Drosophila melanogaster: one gene and its partners. The gene in region 1 interacts genetically with each later gene. Each region holds a gene or a part of one and is shown on either strand. Other genes may lie near its edges. The genes, in order: Rab5, RN-tre, vap and PIP4K.

Evidence for each region.
Region 2: of Rab5 (region 1) and RN-tre, changing one enhances a phenotype caused by changing the other (phenotypic enhancement), as found in Drosophila melanogaster (one study listed by BioGRID).
Region 3: of Rab5 (region 1) and vap, changing one suppresses a phenotype caused by changing the other (phenotypic suppression), as found in Drosophila melanogaster (one study listed by BioGRID).
Region 4: of Rab5 (region 1) and PIP4K, changing one suppresses a phenotype caused by changing the other (phenotypic suppression), as found in Drosophila melanogaster (one study listed by BioGRID).

What each region holds. Positions count from the first base shown.
Region 1 is NT_033779.5:2,359,258-2,367,184, reverse strand, and holds Rab5 (Rab5), read left to right. Parts: upstream 1-1,911; 5' UTR 1,912-2,124; intron 2,125-2,230; exon of another isoform or gene 2,231-2,348; intron 2,349-2,463; exon of another isoform or gene 2,464-2,872; intron 2,873-3,680; exon of another isoform or gene 3,681-3,780; intron 3,781-4,403; exon of another isoform or gene 4,404-4,510; intron 4,511-5,329; exon of another isoform or gene 5,330-5,446; intron 5,447-5,599; 5' UTR 5,600-5,756; coding exon 5,757-6,025; intron 6,026-6,092; coding exon 6,093-6,213; intron 6,214-6,383; coding exon 6,384-6,552; intron 6,553-6,615; coding exon 6,616-6,716; 3' UTR 6,717-6,729; intron 6,730-6,791; 3' UTR 6,792-7,619; downstream 7,620-7,927. Other genes in the region: Axud1 (AXIN1 up-regulated 1), read right to left, coding at 1-864.
Region 2 is NT_033778.4:13,985,910-13,992,653, reverse strand, and holds RN-tre (uncharacterized protein), read left to right. Parts: upstream 1-1,946; 5' UTR 1,947-2,088; exon of another isoform or gene 2,089-2,667; 5' UTR 2,668-2,817; coding exon 2,818-2,969; intron 2,970-3,029; coding exon 3,030-3,711; intron 3,712-3,770; coding exon 3,771-4,156; intron 4,157-4,216; coding exon 4,217-4,281; coding exon of another isoform or gene 4,282-4,370; exon of another isoform or gene 4,371-5,105; intron 5,106-5,182; coding exon 5,183-5,613; 3' UTR 5,614-6,228; downstream 6,229-6,744.
Region 3 is NC_004354.4:15,999,796-16,007,390, forward strand, and holds vap (vacuolar peduncle), read right to left. Parts: upstream 6,018-7,595; 5' UTR 5,190-6,017; intron 4,650-5,189; exon of another isoform or gene 4,533-4,649; intron 4,292-4,532; 5' UTR 4,131-4,291; coding exon 3,920-4,130; intron 3,848-3,919; coding exon 3,734-3,847; intron 3,655-3,733; coding exon 3,582-3,654; intron 3,501-3,581; coding exon 3,091-3,500; intron 2,918-3,090; coding exon 2,068-2,917; intron 1,996-2,067; coding exon 1,089-1,995; intron 1,024-1,088; coding exon 873-1,023; intron 791-872; coding exon 642-790; 3' UTR 156-641; downstream 1-155. Other genes in the region: CG12698 (uncharacterized protein), read left to right, coding at 6,432-6,632, 6,710-6,814, 6,882-7,025, 7,149-7,260, 7,312-7,445, 7,496-7,595.
Region 4 is NC_004353.4:1,191,911-1,198,835, reverse strand, and holds PIP4K (phosphatidylinositol 5-phosphate 4-kinase), read left to right. Parts: upstream 1-1,987; 5' UTR 1,988-2,128; intron 2,129-2,358; 5' UTR 2,359-2,378; coding exon 2,379-2,516; intron 2,517-2,573; coding exon 2,574-2,671; intron 2,672-2,744; coding exon 2,745-2,994; intron 2,995-3,045; coding exon 3,046-3,176; intron 3,177-3,239; coding exon 3,240-3,408; intron 3,409-4,976; coding exon 4,977-5,128; intron 5,129-5,181; coding exon 5,182-5,276; intron 5,277-5,850; exon of another isoform or gene 5,851-6,065; coding exon 6,066-6,130; exon of another isoform or gene 6,131-6,183; coding exon 6,184-6,300; 3' UTR 6,301-6,417; downstream 6,418-6,925. Other genes in the region: CG33521 (uncharacterized protein), read right to left, coding at 6,477-6,479, 6,530-6,611, 6,674-6,816.

The DNA of each region.
Region 1 (7,927 bases):
GTCGGGCACCAGATCTATAGCATCGCTTTCCGAATCTTCGAGTCTCCGTTTAAGGTTGGACCTTATGGGCTTCGTTTCCACCTTTTTCTGGATTTCCGGCTCGGCTTCTTTCTCCGCCTGATCCTTGAGTAACGCGGAGGTTTCACTTCCTAAACCAGAATCAGACCCACCATCTCTAAGCTCATCCTCTTTCGGTTTGGCTGGCTGGGCAGGCTCCAATGATGCTTGGTTGTTGGACACCACCTCCGCTGATCTGGTGGCCATTTCCGTCTCATTGTTCAACTTCAGCCAAAGAAGTTCTCCACTGGTGTCGACCTCCTCGTTTGTGGTGACCGACGCGGAGTCAAGAATGTTGTCAATTGCCAGTGGGTCCTCGGAGACTGCGTCGGAAGCTATTGAAGAGTTAAGATCCGCATCGCCTAGTACGATTATCTCATTATTAGGATAGTTCTCCAGCTCAAGGAACTGCTCCTCTAGTTCGGTGTCCGCCGGGCCGTGAGCAAAGTCCGCCAGTTCATCATCGAGCTGCTCAAGCGGCATGGGTAGGGAAGCCAACGCCTTGGCTTTCGCTGCGTGCACCTTGCTGGCGTCAATTATGGAGGTTTTGATCTGCCTCTCGATGTCGTCGTCGTCATCGTCCAGGTGGGGAAATATTTGCAGCTGATGCTGCCGCTCCTCCGGTTCGCTCTGATTATCCTTGTGATCCAGATGCCGCTGATCCTTCCTTTCGCCTTCGTCGTGGGCAGTTAGGCTGGTGGTCCCCTCCCTTTGGCCGGCGGCCTTGTTTCCTGATGGGCTAAACATATTGGAGCCGCTCGCATTTTTTTGTATGTACGTAAATATTTTTTTTATAGGACTAAACATGCTATCCGTGTCGAGGTCCCTAGATCATTGAGTGTCCTTTGGTCATCTGCAAGAAAGTAGGAGGAAATGGTTTTACATAATGTTGCTTGGAAATTTCCTTCGCAGGTAGCGAAAACGTATAGATCAGGTGTGTATGTACAGTGTCCATTCGAGAGGGAGAACTGCCGGGAATGCGAAACTTTATTTCTGAGTAAATTAATTACACCTGTTTACGTTTCGTAAGAGCCCCTGACCAGGTCCTAGATCCAACAAACAAATTGCCAAAAGCCTAATGAGTGTACCTTTTACAACTTGTGTAAATATTTAGAAATATTAATTTAGCTCAAGTATTAATTTTACTGCTCGCAAGAAATCAATTGTTTTCTGTGTACGTGTAATGGTTTAAAAATATATATCTTTCGCTTTAATGTTCCGCTCACTTGTATGTTCGCTTTTTCGAATGAGCACTGTGCTTGGATGGGTGTGCGTGTGCAGAATCCTTTGAAATCCTGGATCCCCGAGAATTTCGCACGCTAGAAAGGAGACCACCCGAAAAGTAGACATACCGCTAACCAAAATCAATATTGATTAGCTTCTTTTTTTGGGGGCCCACCTTTGCGCTTATATTTTCGCAGCCAAGCCAACGGCCGGACTCGCAAGATCGGTGGGATTTATCCTTTTTGCAATTTGCGTTGCAGCTGCGATAAAAAACTGAGAGCGAGAGAGATGACGAAAGACGCAACTGTGTGCGTGTGTTTGTGCAAGTCTGTGCGAGTGTGTGCGTGAAGGAGGCGAATCAGGACACAAAGGTCGGTATTCTTTTATTAACACAATCACTTTACTATGCGCCTGGCAACGCCCAAAATTATGATTTATTTTTTAAAACTCATTTCGCACTTCCGTAAACTTTTTCTTAATTTTTCACTTCTTCTTTTCTCGCAATGTTATTACTTCTTCTATTCAGTGTGCCCGTCGCTGGACCCCTGCAACATGACAACAGTCCTGCACCGATCCAAATGTACTTAAAAATACCAGGCAAAAATTGATAAAAGTGTATACGATAGAGCGTGATAGATAAATGTGACTCACTAGTAGATGGTGCGTGTATTTGCTAAGAAATAATTCAGAAGAAAAATTAAAACAAATTCACCAATGGAGCCGGTTCCTGCAAGCTCATTGATTACATAAATTCATAGTAAGACAATTATTATGTAAAATATACCCGTTTTACGATTCATTAGTTGACTCGTGCAGCAAAGAAATATGTTTTGTATATTCACGGTAAGAAATGTTTATATTAAAATTTTATTTATATTGTGTAATATGTTGGTCCCACTAATCGATAGAAATATGTATCGTTGGTTGGAGCCTCTGCTAACGAGCAGAGCTTAGGATATGTTTGGCATATTCCAACAGTCGTCCTGCGGTCACACATAAAATTCCAAGAAAGTTGTAAGTTAAGTTTACTAATAAACCAGGCGATAATTTCGCTAGCCATTAGCAAGGCAAGGAAGCTAAAAAAGACAAAAATCTTTGGCAAATCAATGGTGACGTCGCCCAGGAAGTTAATCGACAAAAACACGACCTGCGACGCGACGATAATTTTGCGAGAGGCGAGTCAGTCGCTATCTATCTCCCTCTGCGCTCGTTTCGTTTCGTTTCTTGGGGCTGTTTTGGGGCACACAATTGAAAGGAAAAAACGTAAATGCAAATGGTCAACTGGTCTCCAAGTGCCGCGTTTAGAAGAGTGCGTAATTCGGCGGAAAGTCGAGTGCTTTTGCGTTGTTGTTTTCGCTCACCCCTCGTAATTAATTAAGAAAGTTGTGTAAAATTTTTTCGCCCCGTCCGCCATAGTGCGAGTGTAAGAGCGAGCGCGATAGATGGCCCTGAATTTTGGGTGCGTTGCCCATGAGAGTGGGCGCTAGAGCGAGACGGCCGTACGACCTGCTCCAAGTGCAGCGTGCACAGTGGGTCGCAAGGCCTAAGATAGTTCACGAATCTAATTGTGAAGAGATAAAGAACACTGCAGGTGCACTCTGGTATGGAGTAAAGCTGGCAAAATCGGATCTTGGCCCGCATTATCACCCAATTTATCAGCGCTTTACACGCCAAAACGGATCAAAAATCGCGGTTCTTTGTTCCGCCTGTTTTGCGTCTTTAGTTATGAGAGAGAGTGTGGGTGTGTGGTGTGTGTGTATTTATCGGCAATCCGTTCCCTTATCGTGCAAGTTTCTCAAAGAACTGTCTTTGTCTCTGATGTTTCTATAAAGCCCAAATGTAAACAAAAACGCATCCTTCTATTTGTTTATTCTAGACCTTTTCGCTCGCTTTGCAAATGGAAGACCCGCATTTGTCAAGCTATACATATTTACGGAGTGATGTGTGGTGTGACAGTAAATATAACGCTAATTGTATTCTCCGTTTTCTAGACGTGCTTCAAATATGCGTGCTGAGAAAATTGCACTTGTTGACTTTTCGAGTGAGGCAATTCCACAGTCAAGCTCACGTGAATAGGGCCATGTTGATATAATGAAAATGTTTTAAGTTTCCAAAGGTGGATTTAAAACTTAATTCATGCTTAAAATTAAGCACAAGCTATGTGGACGTTCTTCTTTATTTCATATTTATATTAAATATCTTTAAAATCTAACATAAGATTTGTAACTTAATTCCACGTATTACAGCTATTTGATTGATAAAGGCTGTGGCTACGTATGGTTGTTGTTCTCGCTCTCATTCTCTTTTTTGATTCACTTGCATTTGTATTAGTCGCGTGAATGACGCATCGTCAGCTGTTCTAAAAGAACCGTAATTTCCTGAACGTTGTTTTATATTTTATTGAATTTTCCGCAGACGGGCGCGAAAGTCACTCCTGTTGTCCAAGTGACTTTAAAGTTTAATAAACCGCATTAATTACGGTTCGAATTAAAATTAGCGGTGAGTTATTTACTGACAGCTGTCCGCTTCTCAAGGAAAATTTTGCATTGGCTTAGTGAGACACACTGCTTGTTTTAATTAAATTTAAAGTGCAGTTTTCGTTTTGGCTTAGACGCAAAAAACAGCAAAATACGTCATTCGCTGGATAATGAAAAGTAATTGTAGGCGAAATTTCTTTATCGCAATGAGAGTGCGGTTTTCGAAAAGAGAGACCAAGTTGTCGGCTTCTGTATGTGTGTGTGACTGTGCACTTGGCTCCAAAGTCTCCGGGAAAAAAACAATTGAATGATCGGAAGGGAGGGGGAGAAACAAACAATTGTTGACTGACTGCATTTTTAATGGCAAAGAGAGGGCCTGCATATTTCGCTCTCTCCCTCATTCCTTGTTAATTTAATAACGCCGCACAGCGTACATGTTTGTCACGCTTTTACTTTCTCCACGTCTCCCCGTTAATTTATTTTGCATTGATTTTTATCACAGCTTCCGCCCTCACTCTGTGAATTCTCTTCGCTCTGCGCTCACTTCTCTCCACAAAGTAAACAAGACTCGTGTAGAATTCCATACCCCGATCTTCGTAGATTTATCTCCACTGTACAGTCTGGCTTCAATGTGTTAATTAATTTCTGTCGGAATTCTGAGATTCCCGTCGTCGGTCATAAAAACGAAAAGCATGTGAACGATACTTTGTGAAGATTTGAAAACGACTTTAGCTTAGTTAATATATGCAACAGTAAATATTTTTAAACAATTTTAATGATTACTCTCTGTTTAAAACGATATCTTGTTTCGGGATCAACGTATCTGTGGGACATCGGTAAAAGTGTAGTGGCCAATGGGGCGTATGATTCATAAAAGTGGCACTGATAACAAAAATACTGTGAATGCCACACGCATTACCGCTGAATAATGCGAGGCGTCCTCTGTGTTATGTACTATTATACACATATGTACACAAATTCACCCGCCCTCGAAATATTTTCCACCAGAAAGTGTGTGAATTATCAATTGCGCGGTAGCCCCTAGAGGAGCTGCAATAAATATCTTTTACGATAACTTAGATTTCCCGCACAAGGGACCGATAAGAATGTTGTAGTTTCGATTACTTGTAAACCCCTTATCTGCCACGAAGAAAGGGAAAAACAATAATTGCGCCTAGAAAGCGCATATAAGGTTTCCCCTTTGTGTTTGCCAAAGTATTTTTAGTTGTTGATGGATTTGTATTTGCACATGTAATTAAGAATGTTTGTGTTTGTGGATGTTTGAAGCAGTCACGCAAGGAATTTTCTAAACACAACTCATAACATTGAACATCTAATCGTGGAACAATTGCTTTCACTGATTTTCCTATCACAAGCTTATCAGTACTATTATGTTGCCAAGTGACACAAATAGTAATGATATGTTTTCGGATGTGTAACACTTATAAATATAAATATAAATAAACTAATATAAGCTCTAATGTGAGTTTTTGTAGGGCGTACTGCTTTCAATTTCAATTGAATTTATCAGTGACCATTGGCAGACGCTTCCCTTTTCCTCTGTTTCATTTACTGATGGAAAACGTCGGCTTTTTGTGCATATTCTCGGATATGTACATATTGAACTGGGCTTGTCGACGGCGTCATTAAACAAACAAAGGCGCCACACAATCATCTGATGGTTTTATGTGGGTTTTATATTCATCCACATGGGCAGCATGTTTTCAAGGGGACTGAGTTTAAGCCCTAAAAACGTACCATTATGGCAGAAGAATTGGAAGCACTCAATTTCGTTTTTATCCGTCTCCATTATAAATATGTACATTATTTGTATTTTGCAGATTCCGCATCCACACTCAGCAGCAATCTTAGCAGAAAGACTTACTCAGCAGAAGAGGGAGTGAGTTGCAGTAACCGTCCGTAGAACCAAATATCAGTTGCCATCTCAGAGGAGGAAGAGCGCATCCACATTCGCATCCGATCCAACCCGAACCGATCATGGCAACCACTCCACGCAGCGGCGGTGCCAGCGGCACTGGAACGGCGCAGCGGCCCAATGGCACCTCGCAGAACAAAAGCTGCCAATTCAAGTTGGTGCTCCTCGGCGAGTCCGCTGTGGGCAAGTCCTCACTGGTGCTGCGCTTCGTCAAGGGACAGTTCCACGAGTACCAGGAGAGCACGATAGGTGCGGCCTTTCTGACACAGACTATTTGCATAGAGGACACTGTCGTTAAGTTCGAGATCTGGGACACGGCTGGCCAGGAGCGGTAAGTATCGCTGGATAGATCACCCAACTGAAAGCTTCATCTGACATACTTATATTCGCTTTTGTAGGTACCACAGCTTAGCTCCCATGTATTATCGAGGAGCGCAGGCCGCTATTGTCGTCTATGATATACAGAATCAGGACAGTTTTCAGCGTGCGAAGACCTGGGTCAAGGAACTGCATAAACAAGTGAGTGTCAGCGGGGAAACTTGAATATCGTGCAGAGTGTTTTAATATTATAATCATTTATATTATTGCTCATGAAGTGCCTCAGTTCAATATTCTTAACTCGAGAAATTCGTTCACTTGATACGTAAATTATATTACATAAAATATGTATTAATAAAACTTTTTTCCAGGCCTCACCAAACATTGTCATTGCGCTGGCCGGCAACAAGGCAGATTTGTCAAACATTCGCGTCGTAGAGTTCGATGAAGCGAAGCAATATGCCGAGGAGAACGGGCTGCTGTTCATGGAAACCTCCGCCAAGACGGGCATGAATGTGAACGACATCTTCTTGGCCATTGGTAAGCTATAAGGAGCCGTCGTAAACGCTTCGAAAACTTTGCTAATCACTACCCCAACCACAGCCAAGAAACTACCTAAGAACGATGGCGCCAACAATCAGGGAACCAGCATAAGGCCGACTGGAACCGAAACAAATCGACCGACGAACAACTGCTGCAAGTGATGTCCCTTCGTAGGTAAGTTAATTGCGTTGGAAATACGGTTGCATTACTAACACAGTTTTTTTTTGGCTTTACAGAAAATGAAATTTCCAACGAGAGATTTGAAAAGTTTATGCTGATAATTATAAATAAAAAAATTATTTAAAAATTCAACAGAATCAGAAAGAAATACCTAAAGCCGGCTCTCGCAGGGGACGAATTTCATTTGAGAGCCACGAAACCAATAATGATAAAGACCACATAAGAATTATAAGCATTAAACAAAGGAGCTCCCATTCCCAACATAAACGAAAGTTGCAATTAAAGAAAGTTAGTTACAAATTCCCACACCCGATTTCCCCCATTACGCTCGATATCTGTCCAAAAAATATACAAGCAAACTGACACTCACGCAATTGAGCTAAAATATCAGTATAATTCCAACATAAACCATTTCAAATAACAACGCAAATTAATAATGAAAACTAAACATGAGAAGAAAGCGCAGGGTTTTTGGAGATTTCATCGTGTCGTAGAAAGTTTGAAATCGTATTGTATAAAAAAAAGAGAGAAACCCCGAAACCAACTAAGCGAGCAAAGAATATTTGTAAAGATTACATGTCGTGTAAGATTCTGAGCATTAAGTAAGGGGCAGATTCCAGTTGCAGTTGTTCTCAGCAGCGTTCCAAATAAAACAAACAAAACAAACAAACACCACAAGGAGCAAATGTTCAGGCCAGCGGCTGAAGATCCTCGCTCGCCTCGGTTTGTGGCAATGTGTGTGTCTCTACGGCTCCGGAGCTCGGACTCCAGATCCGGATACGGACGCGGATGATTCGACTCCGGGTCGCGGCGGACACGTGTGATAGTTGCAATTTATATAAATTATATATACACATATGAAAATGAAGGAAAACGAAAACCACAAAAAAAAAAAGAAAACCAATTATGCATACTTTTAGATTTTTTTATTTTTCAATTTCGCCTTGCGTTGAACTATTTTCCACATTCTAGCAACAATCGAAGATTTAATGCTACTATCTTTAAACGTAAACGAGAACGGAGATACTATCGTAATCCATAAAAATTAAACTTACATCTAGTATGCAATTAAGCGGAGAGGAAGTAAAGTGAATTAAAATAAATAAATAAAACAAATCGAACAACACAATACCGTAAACAACTTGTTTAAATCGTTCCACAAACATCAAAGATCCGATGCATATTTCTTTCC
Region 2 (6,744 bases), on another chromosome or scaffold:
TACCTACAAGGATCAAACGAAATCAAAGGATCAACGTTGAAGAAGAAGCAGAGAGAGAGAAAGAAAGAATCAAAGACAGGGCAAAAACAAAGTCATCAGTCCAAAGACAAAGGCAAATAAATGGAGAGACAAAAGAGACGGCCATAAAAACTCAACCGACAACTTCTGGATGTGCGAAAGGGACGGCAAGGGTAGAGCGAGAGGTGTGTGCATCCATCATTTTCTAGGCGATGCAAGCAAAAGCAATAGCAACAACCACAACAAACTGCAGTTTGGGCTTAGGAAATTATTTGGCAATTCCAAAGCCTCGAAAAACTGGTCTTGATCCATTTTTAAAAGCCGAGCTTTGACTCAAGCTCCCCTCAAACATAAAAACATCAATCATGCGAAGTTCTACACGAAAAGCGCTTCAAGGTCTTATCAACATGAGAAGAGAAAAAAAGGCATATGAAAACCCGAAATAGAACTGGTTTTGAAATGCAAAAAGCCACCCACACGAAACTAAAACGCTATAAACTAATTAGGCGATAAGAGACTTAACTTACTTACCCAGAAGCTGTGCTGATAATCCAACTTGATTTTGATTTCCTTTGATTTGCTATTTGCTATTTTCCATTTGTTATTACTGTTGTTATTTCAACTTAGCATTTATCCAATGCTTTGAATTTTAATCCAACTGCAACAACAACAAGAACGGCACAATTTTATTAGCTGGCCAATGCAACAACAATCAAAAGAGCAGAAACTCTCCGCTCTCCTCTCTCGATGTCTTCGTGTATGTGCAAAAATCAAAACAAAACACGGCAAAAACACTTATAACTCAAAGAGAGCGAATGAGAGAATGAGAAAGAGAGTGATCCGCTTTGCTTTTGTTTTAGTTTTTAGTGACTGCAACATGTTGAATGTGTTTACTCTTGCCCTAACGGTAAATGCTAGAGCTGCAGTTTAAAAATCCTCTGCTCGTCTCGAATTGAAAATCAAAAATTTACACGCGGCAATTTTCTTTTGCATCACAAAATCCACAATCACTCACACGCACACACAAACACACATATATATATATATATATATATATATATATATATATAAACGCACACCTTTAAAAAGGACGCTGTTGAGGGTTGCATTTTATGTTAAACATAATATTAATTATTTGCTTACTTTTATCTCACAATGCACTCTTAGAAATTTCCACTGTTATGTTATTCATGTGTTTGCATAAAACTGGAGAAATTAAACACGGTATCTCAACAAAAATAAAAGAAAGCCGCCAACAAAATCGGTTATGTTTGACTTCTTTTCACTTTGATATACACCTTAATTCATTTGCTTGTTCAATTAGCATGCACTCCTTAGTTATTTGGTACAGTGTATTTTTTACGAGAGTTCTCGACAATTTTCGAGCGCTAAAACAAAGAAACCGCGCTCGATGATAAAAACCGCGTCCGACTGCCGCTGTTTTTTTGTTGTTTTGAGAGGCGCTAGTGGTGGAACGATGGCTGGGAAAACATCGATAACGCTATCGATCAAGCGATTACTTATCCTTCTGTTGCTGACGATGTTTTCCAGTTGAATGTATGGCAGCACTGCTTATTTAGTCACAAAAATTATATTTGAATTAAAAAGCCGATTTTGTTATCAAGAAATAAATTTTGAAGTGAAAATGTTTTCCACAAATGTTTTAATTCATTAAGTGCCACTTGTCGCAATTAAGTAACTGAATAGGTTTTAAATAATAAGTAAATAAATATCATTGTTAAATATTTATAAATGAGCATTCATTTGCAGCTTTAAATAGATAAACATTTTACATATTTGTACATTGACATCACAAACATTTCAACTAAAATTTAAACTCGTATAACATTACGCTAAAGTATCGCTTAAATATTGGCTCGCATCCCTGGTACTCTTGTTACGTTACGTTATTCGGCAATTACATCAGTCTGGCAACTCTGGCCCTCACACACACTCAGTCGCCCCCCAAATGTATCGGAAACATGCAGCCGAGATAAAATAGTGAAAAACTAGTTACCAAACATAACCGATCAGTGCGGATAATAAGAATTGGCAATTCAAAATTAAATGGTAAACGAACGTCGGCGCGATTAATTAAACTCAACCATAGGAACGCGGAGAGAGTGGCCAGTGAAAGCCAGAACACTCTCTTTCGTCGGAGCGTCTGTGTGTGTGTGTGTTACGTGTGTGCGTATGTGTCTGTGTTGACAAAATACAACAAATCGCAGCGAAAACAGGAAGTGTACGAACGATAAAGCATAAGATTGCACATTTCGCATTAAAATAGGCGACAAAAACCCGGGGGCGCATGCAGATCCACACATTTCTGGCCCACTCACACTCACACAACGCAGATCAGGGGGCGTTTTTCTAGATCAGTGACCAAGTCTTATATGGCTTTATGTTTTGATGCTGCACTAAATATGGGTGAAACATCACGTCATTTATGCCACGCTCCTTCTCCAAAAACAAAGATCATGTTGATTTCACTGCATTTGAATATATATATATATATATACAATAGTTAATGTTCGTGTGCGTCATTCGCTCATCAGCTATATAGTATACGAGTGTTGTTATTGTGGATCGCTTTCGCATGTTAATGCTTTTGTGTGTTATTTTTTCCATTCCATTTTTTTTTTATCAAAGTTTCGCGCTATCGCCCAGTCAGCTCAGAAGCAGCCGCTCCCCAACTGAGAGCACAGAGAAACCAGCTCTGGCCACTTGCTCCTCCGGATCCGGCTCCTGCTCCTGTCCCCGATCCCCTCCCCCACCCGCCAAATCCTGATCCTGCTCCAAATGACTGACGGCGAACAGCAGGAGGCGCTGGTCAAGCGGGCCGAGGACGAGCGCGAGGACATCTTCCGGCGCTACGAACTCGGGCTGGATCCCAGCAATGTGGTGGACTCCTGGGAGAATCCCACCTTCGAGATCTACCACAGGACAGACAAGTGAGTAATATTAATCATTCGCCAGAAAAAATCCCAATAATGCCATTGATGCTCCCACAGATATGGCTTCTTGCACGACTCGCGGCTGCCGTCGACGCGTGATGCCCAGGAGGTGCATCGCAACAAGATTGAAATGGAGCGGGACAAAAAGTGGATGAAGATGCTAAATCAGTGGCCGCCGCCCCAGGATAAGCTGCACAAGCGCGTCTACAAGGGCATACCGGATCGCGTGCGTATGGTGGCCTGGAATAAGCTGCTCGACATCCAGCAATCGATAAACAACAATGCTGGCGTCTACCTCCGAATGCTGCAGCTGGCCAGGAAGTACTCCACGGAGACGCGACAAATCGATGCCGATGTGAATCGTCAGTTTCGCGACAATCTTGCCTTTCGCGAGCGCTACAGCGTAAAGCAGTGCTCGCTATTCAATGTGCTCAACGCCTATAGCATCTACAACTCGGAGCTGGGCTACTGCCAGGGCATGGCCTGTGTGGCTGGCGTGCTGTTGCTTTATTTGCACGAGGAGGAGGCTTTTTGGGCATTAAATACCCTGATAACAGACCAAAAATACGGCATGCACGGGCTGTTTATCGAGGGATTCCCGAAGCTGACGCGATTCATCGATCACCACGACCGCATCATGTCGAAAATAATGCGAAAACTACACAAGCACTTTACCAAACACAACGTTGACGCCCTGCTGTACGCTATTAAGTGGTTCTTTGTCGTCTTCGTGGAACGCGTATGTAAACCACAAGGTGTATTTATTACAAAAATACTTAATAGATCTGTTTTTTGCAGGTTCCTTTTAGTTTGAGTCTGCGCGTGTGGGATATATTCATGTTAGACGGCGATCGCGTCATACTGTCCATGGCCATCACCATTCTGTACCTTCACAAAGACGAACTATTGCGCCTGAAGGACATGGACGCCATCATTGAGTACTTGCAAGTACGGCTGCACAAGAACTTTGGCTACAGCGACGATGATGCCATTCAGGCTCTGGAACGCGTGATGAAGAAGCTGAAGGACCTCAAGTTGGATGTGCCGCCGCCAGCCAAGTCAAACGAGTTCCCCACCCGCAAACTAGGTGACTTCGTGGAGGCGGATATGGAGAAGAAGATCGGGCGCAGACGCAATGATTATACAGACGCGGAGAAGCAAGTCATAACAGATGTGATATCAAGGTGGGATCTCTTGGCGTTGTTAACGTTAACATATTTATAATAATTTTTTAACTTTATTAGACAAGAACAAAACGCGATCGACGTTCAGTCCACAGTGTCCTACGAGACTTCGGAGTGCGCAACGGGTGAGTCATGCGTCACACACAAGTCCTTACACTGTTTATCTACTAATCCTAATGCTTGCTTTAAACAATCCACTTACCCCACTTGCTGACTGTAACTATAATCTGCAATAATAATTGAAAATTTATTTCTTATTTTGTATTGTGTGGTGCAAGTTTATCACAAATTGTATGTATATATATCATGTATGTATGTATATGTAAACCGAAACACGAGCAGTTCCTCAAATCGAACTTGAATTGGTGTTGCCCTAGACTTAATCCTATGTACAAAGTCCTGTTTAGTTCTAGACTATGATATATGGCATATGTATTATGTTTGATTTGAGTAGCGATGTATAGTTTTCCTTTTGAGTATACGTTAAGATCGTAGCCACTTTCAGCGAGTCATCGTTGGCAGTCCAACCCAAATGCGTCACCATCTCGCTGGCCGAAGCATTAAACTAATTGAATAATATGCTAATATTGACCTTTTGCACGTTGGAGGGAACTAAGAAGGGAATTCCTATTCCTATTTGTGTAATTTGATGGATGGCTCGAAACAGTGGGACGAGTTTAAGTGGTTCTGGATGGAGTACCAAGTTTTAGACGTAGCGGATCTAATGGGCACTAATTCTAACTGTATATGTAAATTATTAGCATTTAAGGGCCAAATAACCAAGGCAGCCACAAAAACCAGTTCATGCTTATTAAATACGCCCCTCGACGTTCATGTTATCGGATGATCCATTTTGTAACCATTGTCTAACATTGTCCGCTGCGTGTACATATATATCCGTTTCGATCACAAGCCACCGCTTCTGCGTCTTGCCGGCAATCGGAGCTGCAAAAAAAAAAAAAAAAAAAGAAAACTCGAAATCAGATCTGACCTAATTTGCAATCGCTTCTGTAATTCTGTTCCTAGGTGATGGATACTCAATGAAAACGTTTGAGAGTATCACTAGCTTAGCCACCTCGCCGGCGAATAGCAGCTACTCGCTGTACAGCAATGGATTTGTGGTGACCACTATCGATAGTGAACAAGATCCCGCCCGCAGCCAGAGTATCCACAATCTCAGCTACCTGCAGACGCATCCAGCTCTGCCGCCCAACGGGCTGCAGCATATGCGGCACAGCTTTAGCAGCGATAGCGACAGTCGCAATCGCATCGATCTGGATCAGGCACTGGAAGTGCTCCAGCGACAGCAGCTGCCCCTCCATCCGAAGACTCCCAGCAGCCAGGTGGTGTATATCGTGCAAAATGGAGGCGGAGGCGGCAGGTATATGGACGGGCATCGGGATGCTGCGGATGATGATGACGATGATGCGCTGAGCGTGGAGAACACACGCCTTTAATCTTAGTTGATTCGTATTTCGTATTCTTTCTTTATGTAGTTAATGTTTGTTTTGCCCACTTGGTTTGTAAAACGCATATGCCAATAACGAATTCCTTACCCCCCCCCCCCCCTCAAAAATCCCCTTAAACATTCGGTAGTAATATCCACATGTACTTAGCTTTAATTTTTGTATTGTCGAACCGACAGAAACCTGAAATTGTTATTCATTTGCTAGCATTCATCGATGTGTGTATTTAGTGTTTCTTCCACACTCTTTCTTTTCCCCTCGCTCTCCGATATTATCCAACCGAGAGTCTCAACTTAATATTCCAAATACTTATAACTCCTAAGACTCCAACTATTCCGTTTGAAACTACGTACAACGATTAATATTTATTGCTAACCGCCTAACTTCTTACCCACAATTCCACAATACCTACTAGCATAAACCAACTGATTAGGTAACTTAAGCTTTGCTCTTGCATTTACTTTATATTTGCATTACAAACAAAACTCAACTTTTAGTTTATGTTAAAGCCAAAATTGTAGCTGTAATCTAATTGATTAGCCAATAATTATATATGATTATACATATAGCGAAACGTACCACACAAATAAATATGATTTTGTACTGAAAAGAACACATTTGCCAGCATGGTTGATTTCGCAGTTAGCCCAATATATACAGTTTATTGTACTACAATATATGTTTCAGGCTAAGAAAACAGTATTAGTACGAAGTAATCGACTCGATTTGCACCTCACAAACAAGTACAAAAAACACAAGAACACTAACACAGCTAACAAAAATTTCACATTGCCACAATCACAGCCACAATTGAAAACTAAATGCAATTTTCCAAAAACCAAATTTTTTTCCCAACGCATTGGCAACACGACGAACTGGGATTGGTCAAACCAAATCGACAAAAAATACGAAATTCCTATAAACGCAATTTATTAGTTACGCTTACCGTTCCCGAGGATTCGCACTCAATACGAAGTTCGCTTGCAGGTACTTCAGTTGCCTCGCACGGCTCCTCGGAAACGATGTCGCTGGAGGACAACAAGTGAGTATATATCCATAGTCGGTTACAGTCAAAATAATCTTGGTCACAATCAGATCTATAAGATCTATAATTTCCATATT
Region 3 (7,595 bases), on another chromosome or scaffold:
CTTTGAAGAATATATGTATTTATATTAAATTCAGCTGACTATTGACTTTTCCATGCCCATTGCAACGCCTTTAAGTGCGAAGAAATTCGAAAAAAAAACATTTTTCAGCTGCAAGAAACCGAAAGGGAGCCATTCAAAAACACAGTGTATGTTTTCAGAGGAAGTCTTTTGCACTCTTTTTGAATTCTTTAATTTATTTCGATTTTATGCGTTATTTCAAAAAAAAATGTATTGACTTTTGGATAAATGCCGTGCATTTGGACGCCAACTGCCATTTGACGTTGGTAATGCACTAATAAATTTTAAACAATATCGAAAGCAAAACCATTTTGAATATCTGAGTTTGCGGCTATACGGAGTAATCCGTGTAAGCTAGTGTATTATAGGTTATTTTTAATTTGTAATAATAATAATAAATAAATGCATACCGGTCTGTTAAATATTATTTCATTTCCATATAAATAATTTTATAAATGAGATGCTGTTTACTATTCCAATACAATTCAACCAGTTATTTTGAGTTCTTATTTTATGTATTCTAATAGTATACACATATAAATATTTTTATAAAAAGGTATGAAGGGACTTGTAGATAAGAAGACATCGCTTTTTTTTATTATCCGCTCTCCTCGCAATTGATTTTAGCTGATCATCTCGCGATACTTCAGCTTGTGTTTGGTCAGCATGTCCGTCACTGTGACCAGCTTCTTAATTGAAAGTATGTTGGATAGCTCGTGCAGTTCTTGCGAATGAGATACGCAGATGTGATGCAAGGTAGCCAGCTCGCGTCCTGCAGGAATTATAAAAGAAATCATTGTATATTTAATAATATAACAGCGCCAAATAGAAAACATGAGCTGACAAATAATTACCAGTGTCTTGTGAATTCAGATTTGTACTTTGTTCGACAAACATTCCAAGCGGTTGGTTCGGATCGTTCACCGAGGACAGTTGATCCAAGAAAACAATCATACGCTCCTTGTTCTTCAAGATAAACGGATTGACAACCTCCATGTATTGTTCCTAAAAATGAAAAAGAAATCGAATTTATTTTGGTAATCACATAACTGAGTCGAATCGATACGCACCTTGCCGCCGAATTCAATCAAGTTGGCCAGATTCTGCAGACACTTGGCGACCATGACCAAAGATCGTGTTGCTGCCATCGGTGGCGTCTCGCTGACCAATCCAAATTGGCGTGGATTGAGCAGCGCTGGGCACAGAAGGCGCAAGAATATAAAGCCAGAGACGACGCGTGTGCGAACGAGCCGCTCTGTCGGCCATTTGGCCATCACAGCCTTCTGAAGACAGCTGCAAATGAAACGCACGTTGCGTGGACAGGCGTCCGGTGAAGTGAATATCGACTGGGTGACCAGATCGAGGATTTGCAATAGAAACTCGGCATTCGTACAGGCATCATCGTTGACGTCCATTTTCGTGGGATTCAATTCAGCCGACTGCTTGCTCTCCAAAATGCGCTGCACGGTTTCGCTGACGGCCGATTGCAGGAAGCCGCTGCATTCGGTGCGCATATATAGATCCATTAGGGTGGTGGCCAAGGATGCGCCACGGAAAAGCGTTGTGGTTTCGTTTTCGCGCGTCACCTCCGCTTGGCACAGCATTCGAATTAGTTCCGTTTCCCGTTTCTCCTGCCTAAAGACTCGCAACAGAGCCGTGGCCAAAGGAACCCGATCATTATGGCACAATTCAGCCAGCGCCTTCACAGCATACAGCTCCGATTCGAGGAGCAATTGCTGCAGAGGACTGTACTCTTCACACGGCATTATCAGATCGTCGAGGTAGCGCATACGCAATCGTAGCGAGCCCCATTCACCCATCGGCGTCATGCCAGTGAGTTGGTACCAGCCCTCGGTTTCCTGGCCATTCTTTAGACTAGACAAGTCAATGGTTAGCTCAGCCACTTCGGAGTCCTTACCGCGTTTGCCGCGCGATATTAATGTTATGGTTAGGGAGACAACATCTGGCGGAACATCGCTGCAAGCAAGCAAGTTACAAACATATATTATTCGATAAGTTATCAAATAGGCGAAGGAATGGTAGACTTACTCTAGCACAAACTCCTCTTCCCAAACGGGTTCGGGTGCAATTTTGACACGAGTTTTGCCCACTTTGACTTGATTGAGGGAAATACTGCAGTATGGATGTGGCACTAGTTTAAATGGTAATCGATGAGCTTCCAGCACATGCAGATTAAGACAACGAAGCTCACGAAGGCGTGATACCTTCTTCTGGGCACGACTCAGCTGGGAATCGCATTGTGCCTTGAGCGAATTAATCCACTCCACGTAGCTTTCCTGACTAGGAGCACACAGATACGTCACTGTGGCCAAGCATGGCAGGGCCCTTTCGACAATTTGGAAGCAATAGGGACGCTCCCACAGCGAATCGTGACATTGATAGAGGTAAGCACAGGACAAATCGATCAGACCCTTCGGTTTGGTCTTCTTCGGATTGTCGTAGAAGCATAGTTGCGTCTCGGAACCATCGTTGATTAAAGCGAAATAGAGTTGCTTCCATTTCGTCGTTTTGTCCGACTTCTTGTTCAAATGGCCGTGATGTTTGATTCCCTTGATCTTTTTGAGACCGATTTGGTCACGACACTCGCGCAATGTTGCGTAGATCTTTTCAGCGGCCTTTTCCACAACATATTGCTGATTGAACTCGGGCTGAATGCCATTGACAACTGGATGGTTCAGTGAGTGGCCCTCCACAATTTGCTCTTTGCGATATCGATTTATAACCGCATCCAAGCATTCGAATGTACGACCGCCCATTAAATAGCGCACGCCTTTCTTTTCAATACGAAAGCGTTGGATTTGATTGTTTATATGAAAGAATAGAGAGTAATCCCCCGGTGAGTTGTCACTTGGGCGAACGAGGAAACTTCCTGGTCCAGCTGTTAGGATGAAAAAATGTGTTTCAATTACATACATATAGCAACAGAGAAAAGTCGAAAATATCGATTGTAGGCGTCACTAGAAGAAGCTCAAAATTCTAAGGATTCATCTCGTGAATCTCGGGAAAGCTTGCTTTCCTTACTTGTAGGTACCTTAAACTAATAATACACACCTTTAACCAACATATCGACGGCTTCGTTTTTGGTGCAGTTGGGATGGAACCAGGGAAACACCGTATTTGGATCGATAGATACATCCAGATCGTCAACAAGTTCTCTGAATATCATTCCCTGCTCGCCCGTACGATGGGCAGTCACCCACAACCAGCCATCGCCCATGTCATTGTGTACAAAAAAGATATCACCTTTCTGGAAACTCAGTTCATCGGTCTCTGGCATTTTTGTGTAAGGCAGGATGGCTACGACGCGTTTCTTATCATTAACTGGCTCCGGCGGAGCAACTGGTATGGCCAAGCGTTCGCGTTTCAGTAGATCACTACATGAGGTATAGTAACCAACCAAGTCGCTTAAGGAAATGAATTGTCGTCCTCCGATATAGAAGTCTCCGCACACAGCTGTAATCCTATGTTAACGATACAACATACATATATAAAAAATCATTCAAAACAATGGCATTTAATGGGTATCTTAACCTATTACTTACCGAAAATGATTTATGCCGGTGCGGCCATAATAACTCAGAACATAGGAGCCAGGTTTGCGGTCACTTTCGCGAACTGCTCAGCATTAAAAAAAGAACACAAAGGTATTTATTTAGTAATACTTTCTCACCTTCGAATACCATCTTATACACACCTAAATAGCTGCCCAGTTTACTGCTTCCGCGTAGGCGAGACTCTGCAGAGTAGCGATCGAGTCGTCCATGGTACCATTCGCTTTCCGGAGGAGCAATAATCGCTGGACGTTCACCTGCGTTTGGAGTTTGCAAGGAAAATTAGTTATCGATCGAACTACAATGTATGGGCATGTAACTTTACTTACCATTCAGCATATGTGGTCCATCGAATTCATCGTGATCCAATTCCTGAGCCAAGTCACCCAAGTCGATGCCGCCAGGTGCCATTATGCCACCCAATCCGGTCATGCCACCCAGCCCCGCAAGATTCCCATCATCCGAACAGCCCGTTGGCGATCCGGGCTTATCTTTCTGGATGACAACATCAATGTTTCCCAAATGTATTAGGTCCGCCATTGTTAGGCTTATGATCTCTGTTCAGCAAATGCGAGTCTTAGTCTATATTTAACTTCGAGTGGAATTCGATTTAATAAAAGCCACATATAGCAATGATAAGAATGCGTTTAACTGAGGAGATACGTTAACTTTTGTGACTGTGTGGGGTTTTCCGTGCTAAACTGTAAGAAGACCAGATAAAAACACTTAGCTGCCTTACTTTGATTACAATACGAAAATCATATTTGATAAAAATCAGAAATCAGATTAGAGAGTCACTAATAGAATCAAATGCTTAACTAAACCAAGATATGTCTAAAACCATTCACTAAAAACGCCCCGAGAGATTTGTTAGTTCTAGTTTCCGCTTTCTAATGCTATTAAATATAGATAATGGAAAATAATTCGGAATTCGGGGCTTACCGTGAAATCATTTTCTTTGCCATATCGGTGGTGGTAATCTCACAAAAACAAATTGGAATAGATTCGCTATAAGTGTCCAAAACAAAATTCGGGTCCAATGTTACGAAAGTTGAGGATCTAACAAATAATTTAACAACGTATGCAAAATTGTGGGGCAAGAATACATCACACCTACACTAAATACGATTAAACCTAAGCCTATTGGTAAAACAAGAAATTTACTAATAGGCGCTATTACAACCGATTACAACCAGCACCAGAAACCGGGTTTATTAATTAGAATATAGAGACAATGCTACTTTATATCCAAAACCATATTTAAAAGCAATTAACGACGTAGACTTCGCAGTAAACTAAATGAAAGATAAGATGGACAGCACATCCATCAGCTGTTTGCGCTTTGTTTACTTTTACAGATAACAAATCAATTGTGATTGTTTCAGTCAGTAATATAGGAGTGTAGTGAACCCACAGCTTAGACAACAAAAAACCATACAACTTTAAGATCTTTAAGTTGTTTCTTCTATAAAGATTTTCATCTTAGAATCTGTATATTGATTCTATACGTTTTCAATGTGTATGGATAAGGAAAATTGTCTATTCCATTTCTTTGATATTTTAAACGGTTTTTCATCGAATTATTAAATAAACATTTACCTCTGGACGAATTAAGCTGTGAGCCACTGTACATATGTACATATTGCTCTTTGAAATCGCCGGGCGACTGACTTTCTTACATATGCGCAGACATTTTTAGGATATTTCGAGTTGTATGAAAGTACAAGTTACTTATGAATTGTAACACCGTATATATACTTTATGTACATTGGTATATATATAGGAATATGCTGCACCCTCTTGTACATCAACATCTATCTAAAACACAAGCGATTTATATGAGCCGCACACCACACACAAACTTTAGGCTAAGCCCTTTTTGCCAAACGAGCCGAACACAAAAAAATTCATTCGGTTCTTTTCTTCATACATACACGACCCGAAGAGTCATCATATCATCATCATCATCAACACCATCTCATCATCATCAACATCGTCATCACCGTCGCCGTCTTTATCATACTCCTCTCAAGCGGGGTAATTACTGCCCATTTGATTCACAATTTCTGGGCTGTGTTCGGTTTGTGATTCCTTTGTAAATGAATCATTAGCACAACCATTTAATTCTCTCTCATATGGGTAACAAAAAATACAAAAAAAAAAAAAATAAAACCATTTACACAGAACATTAATCGGTTAATGCGCATGTGTAAATATTTTCCTCTATATACTTTACATTGCACTGCAGCACCGAGCTAAAAAAACAAATCGCGCTGCTGGGAATTGCCGTCTTTTATTTGCTCAACTTGTGTTATTCATAACAATTGCATATTTAAAACGAACTAAAATTTCTTCCGTACCGATAGCCACAGAATTCAATTGTGCGCAGTGTGAACGTAGTGAATCATCGAAATATACCACACACCCAACTTATCGGACGAATGTATGTGCGTCAAGATAGCGCCAGAGAGTACAGCTCGAATAAGAAATCGATTATAAACGATAAGCCAATTTAAGATATAATATTTTAAAGAAAAAACAAACGCAAATAATATTTATTCAGCATTTGAATGTACATTTCTTAAATGAAAAGCTAATATGTGTTGAAATTACAAAAGATGATTTAAACACTTTGAAAATAACACATGTTTTTTGTGCGCACGAAAACCGTTAGCCGTCAAAATCTGAAATGGGGTAAAATTAAGTTTATATATTTTCATATTTTCAAGCTTATTTAGACAGCAGGCGGCAGCCCGAATCTTTGTCATTCGAATACTATTATATGGACACAATACTCTGAACTGAACAGTTCGACATCAGTGGGATTTAGAAGGCATAATCATGTCCAAGCGCCAACGCGATGTTCACGATGGCGCTGGAAAGAAAATAGCCAAGATTCGGTTTAAGAAGCTCATCCGATCCGTGATACTGAATATGCAGTGGCTAAGTGAGCTGCCCGAGGAGGGTGGAATATCGCTGAATGTGAAGAAGAACGTTGCCATGCTGCGACAGAAGCGCAAAGTGGGCATGATGACCATGGCCGTAAGTCCAACGAACCTCTTCTTTCATATCAAGGCTAGCTCAAGAGTTTATTCCTTTTTGTGTTTGCTTAATTGCAGGAGAAATCGCTGCTGCGCACTCCACATGCTAAGCGTTCCGTCGATGAGAGGAAAAAGCTCTGCACCATTGTGGCAAATCTGGCTTGCTTTTCAAAATTTCCGCCAGTGAGTAGCGCGCTGATCATTTGTACATATGTATAATATTACTTATCCGACCTGTTACCCCTTTTAGAAAGTCCGCGCCCGTCTTGTTCCGATTGTCAAATTCATGGCAATATCTCCCGGGCGTATTGTTATGAAGGAGGAGGATTTTCCCGTAACCATTTATTTTATAATCGCCGGTGAGGTGGAAATGTCTAAGAACATATATAAAAAGGTAAACTATTCAAATTATATATAATACTTTCTAATATGCTTTGCATAGTTATAGCTACAATTTTTCAATTATGCCTTATTAAATATATATGCTTTTTTATTTGAAAAATGGTATATTTCTTAGGGCTCCAGTCGTCCTACCGTACAAACGGAGGCCATTTTTGGACCCGGGGATTGCATTGGTGATATTGACGTGATGGAAGATACACCCAGAACCAACACTTATATCGCCACAAGTAAATCGATTCGTTTGTTTCTTGACACCTAATCGCATTTGATTCTTTCAGCTTATTGCGAACTCCTGGCTATATTCAATACGAACTATAAAATTGTTCTTCTACCGTTTATGCAAAAGATGTGGCAGGAAAAGAAGGATGCTCTGCGGGCCCTTGACTATTTTGACTTTCTCAACGAAGAACAGGTAAGTATAATAGTAGATAAAAAGAAATTATAATATAACTTGTTTGTAAGATTGTAAATGCCAGTAAGTATGGAACAATTCAGCAATTCGAGCCCTTGGAGACGATCTACACCGAAGACTTGGGTACCATGAGCTATGTCTATTTTGTCC
Region 4 (6,925 bases), on another chromosome or scaffold:
GTGAGAATATGACAGTAAGTGATCGCACATATATCGTGATGTTAAAAGAGCTTAGAGAACTGCCAGTATCTCAATAAAATTTTAAGATATAATTATCTTGTATTTTACTATCAATATAGTAAAAAAAATCATTCAATGTACAACGACAATTTAACTAAATATAACTAAATATATGTAATTTGCATAATTATCATATTATGAAGGAAAGAAATCAAGCTATATATAGCGGCTTCTTAGACAAAAGTGATACAACTAAAGTTTCTTTCTCCTAAAGTTTTTAAGTATTTTTACTCTTCCCCTTATTAGGATTTTCTTTTTCTTATTAGATTAATTTTAAATTTTTAAACTTATCATATTACATTTCACTTTGAAATATATAAAATATATATATTTTTAAATAAGAAAATTAAAATACAAAACAGCTATCAAATCGAAAGTTTTAAACAGAATGAAGTAGTTTGGTATGATTATTTATCCGATGTACTTCAGTTTTTTCCGACTCTACTGAAAAGGGGAAGTGTTAACCGACTCTAACACAAAAGATATTTTCAGCATTGTTTTTTCTACAAAATATTCATAAACGTTATTCATAAAACGTTAAAAATAAATATTTATTGTGCTTTTATTATTGTCAAAACATGAACAATAAAGCATGCAGCTTTATTTTCGTAATTGAATTAAGAAAGTTATCTTTGGCAAGCCGAATCGTAAAGTAACGGTGTAAACAGATTAAAAACAAATTAATAAAAACTAATGAAGTTATTCCGGCATGCTCTGGTAATGGTCATTTTTTGGATTTGGGCAAAATCTTTCGATTTCGTTTTTAGGTGCTCTGGTTTTCGCAACATTTCTGATATCGGGATGCTTCATAAACAGTAAACAGCTGTTTCAGACCATAGAGCGGCCATCTTATTCACAATTTTTTAAATTTTATAAGTATTTTTACCTTCGTACATATGACCTCTTGCCAAATCGAAAATTTTTGTTGCCGACGGCAAAATTTTGTATGGCAAATCTGAGGTGGGGTCAGAAATAATTTTTCTATAAAATATCTATGTCGCAGAATAATCTTGTGGGGTTATGTGGAGTAAACAATGGACCACTAATCTGAGGTGGGGTCAGAAATAATTTTTCTATAAAATATCTATGTCGCAGAATAATCTTGTGGGGTTATGTGGAGTAAACAATGGACCACTAAGATCTAAGATCTGTTATGGCCAAACAAAAGTGCCCGTTTTACAAATCAAAAGATCGAAAATTTTTGTAGCCGAAGGCAACATGTTGTTTGTCAAATCTGAGGTTTAATCAGAAATAAATATTTTATAAGATATCTATGTGGCAGAATGATCTTGTGGGGTGATGTGGAGTAAAGAAGGTACCACTAAGATCTGATTTGATATAAATATAGGCATTTACTTTTCATTTCGGCCAAACAAAAGTGAAAAATTCTTGCGAATTCAAAAACCGGAGCACCAATTTTTCGATTTCACATCGAAATCGTAAGATTCTTACGAATTCGAACACAGGAGCACCAGTTTTTCGATTTTAAATCGAAATCGTAAAATTCTTACGAATTCGAATACCGGAGCTTGCCCGATTATATTTTATTTTATAAATTCAATTTTTCCCGAGCGCTAATATGGCAGAGAATTTCGATCAACTCACATTTGTGTTCCACTTTAAATTTGTCTTCATATCAGAGCACGTGCTTTTGGTTTTCTAAAAACAACTCCTACAAAAACCTTTATATTTAATATACAATGCGGTTAGTCTCTTTGTTTGATCTAAATTGTTTCTCTTGAGTATTGCTTGCTATTATTAAAAGATTTTCAACTCTCTGAAGTCCTTTTAGAAGCATAGAAGTATTTAGAAGATTTAAGAGTTAAAGTATTAAATAGTTTGTGATATCAGAATTACTTTTAAGTGGAAACGGCGTTTCATAAGCCGATATAAAAAACAATAAATACATATCTGAATTTATCGATAAGGTATTTCATATTATAAATTTATGTAAACTACAAATTTGTCTGTTCAAAAGCCTGCGAGTCATTGTAAAATACAATAATCATATCTGCAAAGTAAACTAAATTTATTATGAACGCTGGGTTATTTTAGTTTTCAATAAAATGTAATACCAAAGTTCTGTTTAATGTAAATTGGTAAACAATTTACGTGCAACTCTATACATTGTATTAATCAATTTTGGGCTATATGTGTATATAGATATATAAGTGAATGTATATATTCAATGTTACAGCATGTATTATTAAAAATATTAGTTTTTTAAGTGGCTCATCAGCTCTAAATTTAACTTTGCTTAATTTGTTCAGTAATGTTAAACTATATTTTTGATTTTAGTAATTTTAGCCACCCAAAATATGGAAAAAAAGATCTCATCGTCATCCCAGCCCCGGATTTTAAAAAAGAAGCACTTCAGGGTTAAGCATCAAAAGGTTAAATTATTTAGAGCCAATGAACCAATTTTAAGTGTGTTCATGTGGGGAATAAATCACACTGTATGTAACAAATATTAAACAAGAAAGGCAAGATAAGCTAATTTGAAATATTTCCAGATTAATGAATTAAGTCACGTTAATATACCTGTAATGCTTTTGCCGGACGATTTTCGAGCTTATTCTAAAATTAAGGTGGATAATCATCTATTTAATAAGTAAGAAACCAAAACAAATACATTTTTGATATTCTCAATCGTTGGTATTTTCCTGTTATTATATCCACTACAGAGAAAACATGCCGTCACATTTCAAAGTCAAGGAATATTGCCCCCTTGTGTTTCGAAATTTACGTGAAAGATTTGGCGTTGATGATGTTGATTACCGCGAGTCCTTAACTCGATCCCAACCTATTCAAATTGATTCGTCTGGAAAATCAGGAGCGCAATTTTATCAGAGTTATGATAAGTTTTTTATAATAAAAAGTTTGACATCGGAAGAAATTGAACGAATGCACGCATTTTTAAAGCAATACCATCCGGTGAGTAAAGTATGGTTTAATTGACTAAAATATCCTTATTATAATTTTTAGTACGTTGTGGAGAGACACGGAAAAACGCTGTTACCTCAATACTTGGGAATGTATCGTATCACTGTAGAAAGCGTGCAATATTACTTCGTTGTCATGAGGAATGTTTTCAGCTCCCACTTGACAATACACAAGTATGAAATATGTTGAAAGTTACACCGATTATATGTATAGTATAACCATTATTTATTCGATAGAAAGTTTGATTTAAAAGGTAGCACCGTTGATCGGGAAGCATCAGAAAAGGAACTTGAAAAAAATTTGCCGACTTTCAAGGACAATGATTTTATAAAACAAAAAGTGAAATTAGACATTGGAAAGGAAGCTAAGGACAAACTAATGGACACGCTGAGCAACGATGTGGATGTAAGCAAAAATTTTTATTTTATTCGTATAATAATTGTTTTTATCAAAATTTAAACAAGAAAGAATGCGAGTTTCCCGACTATCAGATATCCGTTACTCAGCTAGTGGAAAGTCAAAGCGAAATTTAATTGGGGAATCAAATGAGAAACAAGGGAGAACGCTATAGTCGGGTTCCCCAACTAGTTGCCCTAATATTAACGGCATTAGATGGGAGGAGAAAAATGTGAATTGACTGGACGAAGAAGTTCGCTAGAAACTGCGACACAACTAATAAAATTAAATAAAATTTGTTATAAATGTGGGCGACAGGTGGCAATAAGTTTTTTGGCATATCAATAGAAATTTACAAGACTAAAAAAAATATGAAAAAATATAAAAACAATATTCAAAAGTTCAAATCTTCATGTCTTCATTTAATAGTTTCTGAGATCAAGGCGGTCATAAGGATTGACGTTCGGATTCAGACATTGATCCTGATCAGGAATATAGCGTCCGAAACGCTTCATATTACCTGTTATATACTTTCCAACAAATATAGTATACCAATTTACCAAAGACAATAGAATAACAAGATGCGTAACGCCATACGATTTTTTTTTGGCGTGGCTTTAGAGGTGGCTCCAGGCTCTCTCGAATTTTTGTTCAAGAGCGAGAGAGCGGAAATCTCTACAGCCAGCAGCTCTTTTCTACGCGTACCAATAGTACCAATATAGTATACCAATTTACCAAAGACTATAGAATAACAAGATGCGTAACGCCATACGATTTTTTTGGCGTGGCTTTAGAGGTGGCTCCAGGCTCTCTCGAATTTTTGTTCAAGAGCGAGAGAGCGGAAATCTCTACAGCCAGCAGCTCTTTTCTACGCGTACAGTGACAGCCGACAACTGTACGTATGCTCATGCATTGTAAATTTGACGAAATAAGCCCTTCATCTTAGAAGTTCTTAGACTTTAAATCTACATTATTTTTGATCAATTGGCACCATGTACAAATTTATTTGTTTTGAATTGCCTTAACGTTGTTTTTATTTAAATATAGCTTAGAAATAATAATAGCCTAATCTTCTATGTACATAATACCAGAAAATAAATTTCAAAAATGACTTTATATTAGAATATTTGTCATTAGAGTATTCAGCTTGCGACGACTAGACTTGTTGAATCGATCTGAAACATCGAAATTTGGGAAGCTGTAAGTGCTATAAGGAGTGCAATTAACATATCGAGGATCATCGTCTTACATATCTTGAATGTTATTAATTCATAGGGACTACAAATTTGTCGCCTTGCACATTTTATATAAATTTCAGGTCTTGAAAATCATACGAATGTGCTGCCATTTTCAAGCATATTGCGTTAAATCTAATTCATAAAAAAAAGTCCTACGAAGTGGTACTTGAAAACCATTTAATCTGAACAAATTTATCTAAAAACCTTTAAATTGTTGTAGTTTAACCTATATAACCAGTAGATATAATTATGTCTTGCATGACTTGATAATTTATTTATTTATAAATATAAATTACCAATACTTTTTGATAGCATATGGTGACATATAATTTATTTTAGCTTTTAACCAAGTTGCACATTATGGATTACTCTTTGTTGGTCGGCGTGCATGACTGTGTTCGTGCAGAGGAGGAAGCTTTGCAGGGAGATAATATACTAACTGTTGGTCGCAGTGAGAACAGCGAAAGCGAGGAATGCGATAGCGGGGAACGGTAAATAAAAATTATTTTATTTAAGCCTTAAATGTACGCAGTTCTTGTTAAAGCTGGACGTATAACACTCCTCCCGATTCTCCAAGAGGTGCACAGTATAAGGAAGTCGTTTATGAAGTTGATATATATGACATTCCAAGTATTGAAGGTAAATGTAGTTTAAAAGTTTTGTACGCAATAGCCCTGATAACTTAACAAAGAGCATTTTTATATTGGTCGTTTTTATATTTTTCAAGTTTTTGAAAATGATGCGTGCGTGCTTATGACGTAAAAAAATTGAAACAAAATTTACGTTAAAGCTCGTTTTTTTAAGATTTTACCCAAAATATTTGGAAAAACAATATATGTTGTTTTTCCATTTTATGCATGATTAAAACACCGGGGAGTACCGATTTCTGAATAGGATACTTAAACTTTCTCTTCTGATTCAGCAGTTAAGATCGTAGCTTCAATCAGACTTGGGAATCACTCTTTTAGTGGCAATCATCATAAAATTTCAGTTGCTTCAATCGTCAACTATCGTGACCATTTCGCTTCATTTGATGTGTTTCGTGCATTGCGCTTATACAAGGGGTACAATATAGTTAAGCAAAAATGTGTGATAACCTTACACCAATTTACATTACATTCAATTTATTTAAATAATTTATTAAAGAATAAATATTATTCTTTAATATATTTAATAATAAATATTATTAAGAATAAATTTATAAAGAATAAATAAATACTTTGTTCTTTGACATACAATGCAGGTAAAAACTATTTTAATAGAACCCCATTAATAAATTTAAATTTCAGTTGTTAACTAATGAGATTTCTATTACTGGTTTCTTAGTGCACATTTTAATTTTTTGGTCCAATCACTTCTACCGTTTTGCCACTAATACTACCGGTATTAAAATTAGAGAATTAATGTATATTTTGAACTGTATTGCAGAAAAACGCGAAATTTACTTTATTGCAATTATTGACGTTCTTACACAATATGGAGTAAAAAAACAGGTATTTCATTTAATACTTAAAAGAAAGGTTGTAATTTTAACAGCATATTTTAGGCAGCTAAAGCAGCCAAAACTGTTAAATATGGCAGTAATGTTGACGGTATATCAACCTGTGACCCTGAACAATATGCCAAACGATTCTTGGACTTTATGGATAAAGCTATAGAATAAAGTATTATACTCATTATGTATTTGCCACATTCAAAATGTCAAAAATGTATTTATCTAAGACATAAAATATAAGATATTATTTTGAAGCTTCCAGATGATCATCTTTTGGACGAATGCAAATATATTGCCTTAAATATCCATTTAGAAATAATTCGGATTTAGTGACCATCACGATGTTACTAGAAAAAATTGGTGAGTCGGGTAAGGATATTTATTCTACTGCACTTACAACAAAACGTTTTATTTGAGTTTTTGATGGGTTCTCCATAGCAGTTTCCGATTTTTTCATATTTTCAAAGCGTTCCCGTATTCTGAAATTAAAGGACCATTACCTTGCAAATTAGTCAAGATACATAAGTAAGTTTGATCTTACGCTTTGGCACTTTCAATAGATTCGTTTGAAATAAGCTGTGAATATACATCAATGCGACCTTCCTTTATTTCTTGTTCTATTTCGTTATTTTGCCATTTTTCAAATTTCGCTCTCAATTGCTTAGCTCGTGCAACACTTTGCGCCTAAAAAAACGAGAAGTGTATTTAATGTACTTTGTAATTACTTCTGGTAACTTAAAGCTATAAAACATTAAAGACTCTTTAGTTGTTATTGGGAGTACAGGACTTATTA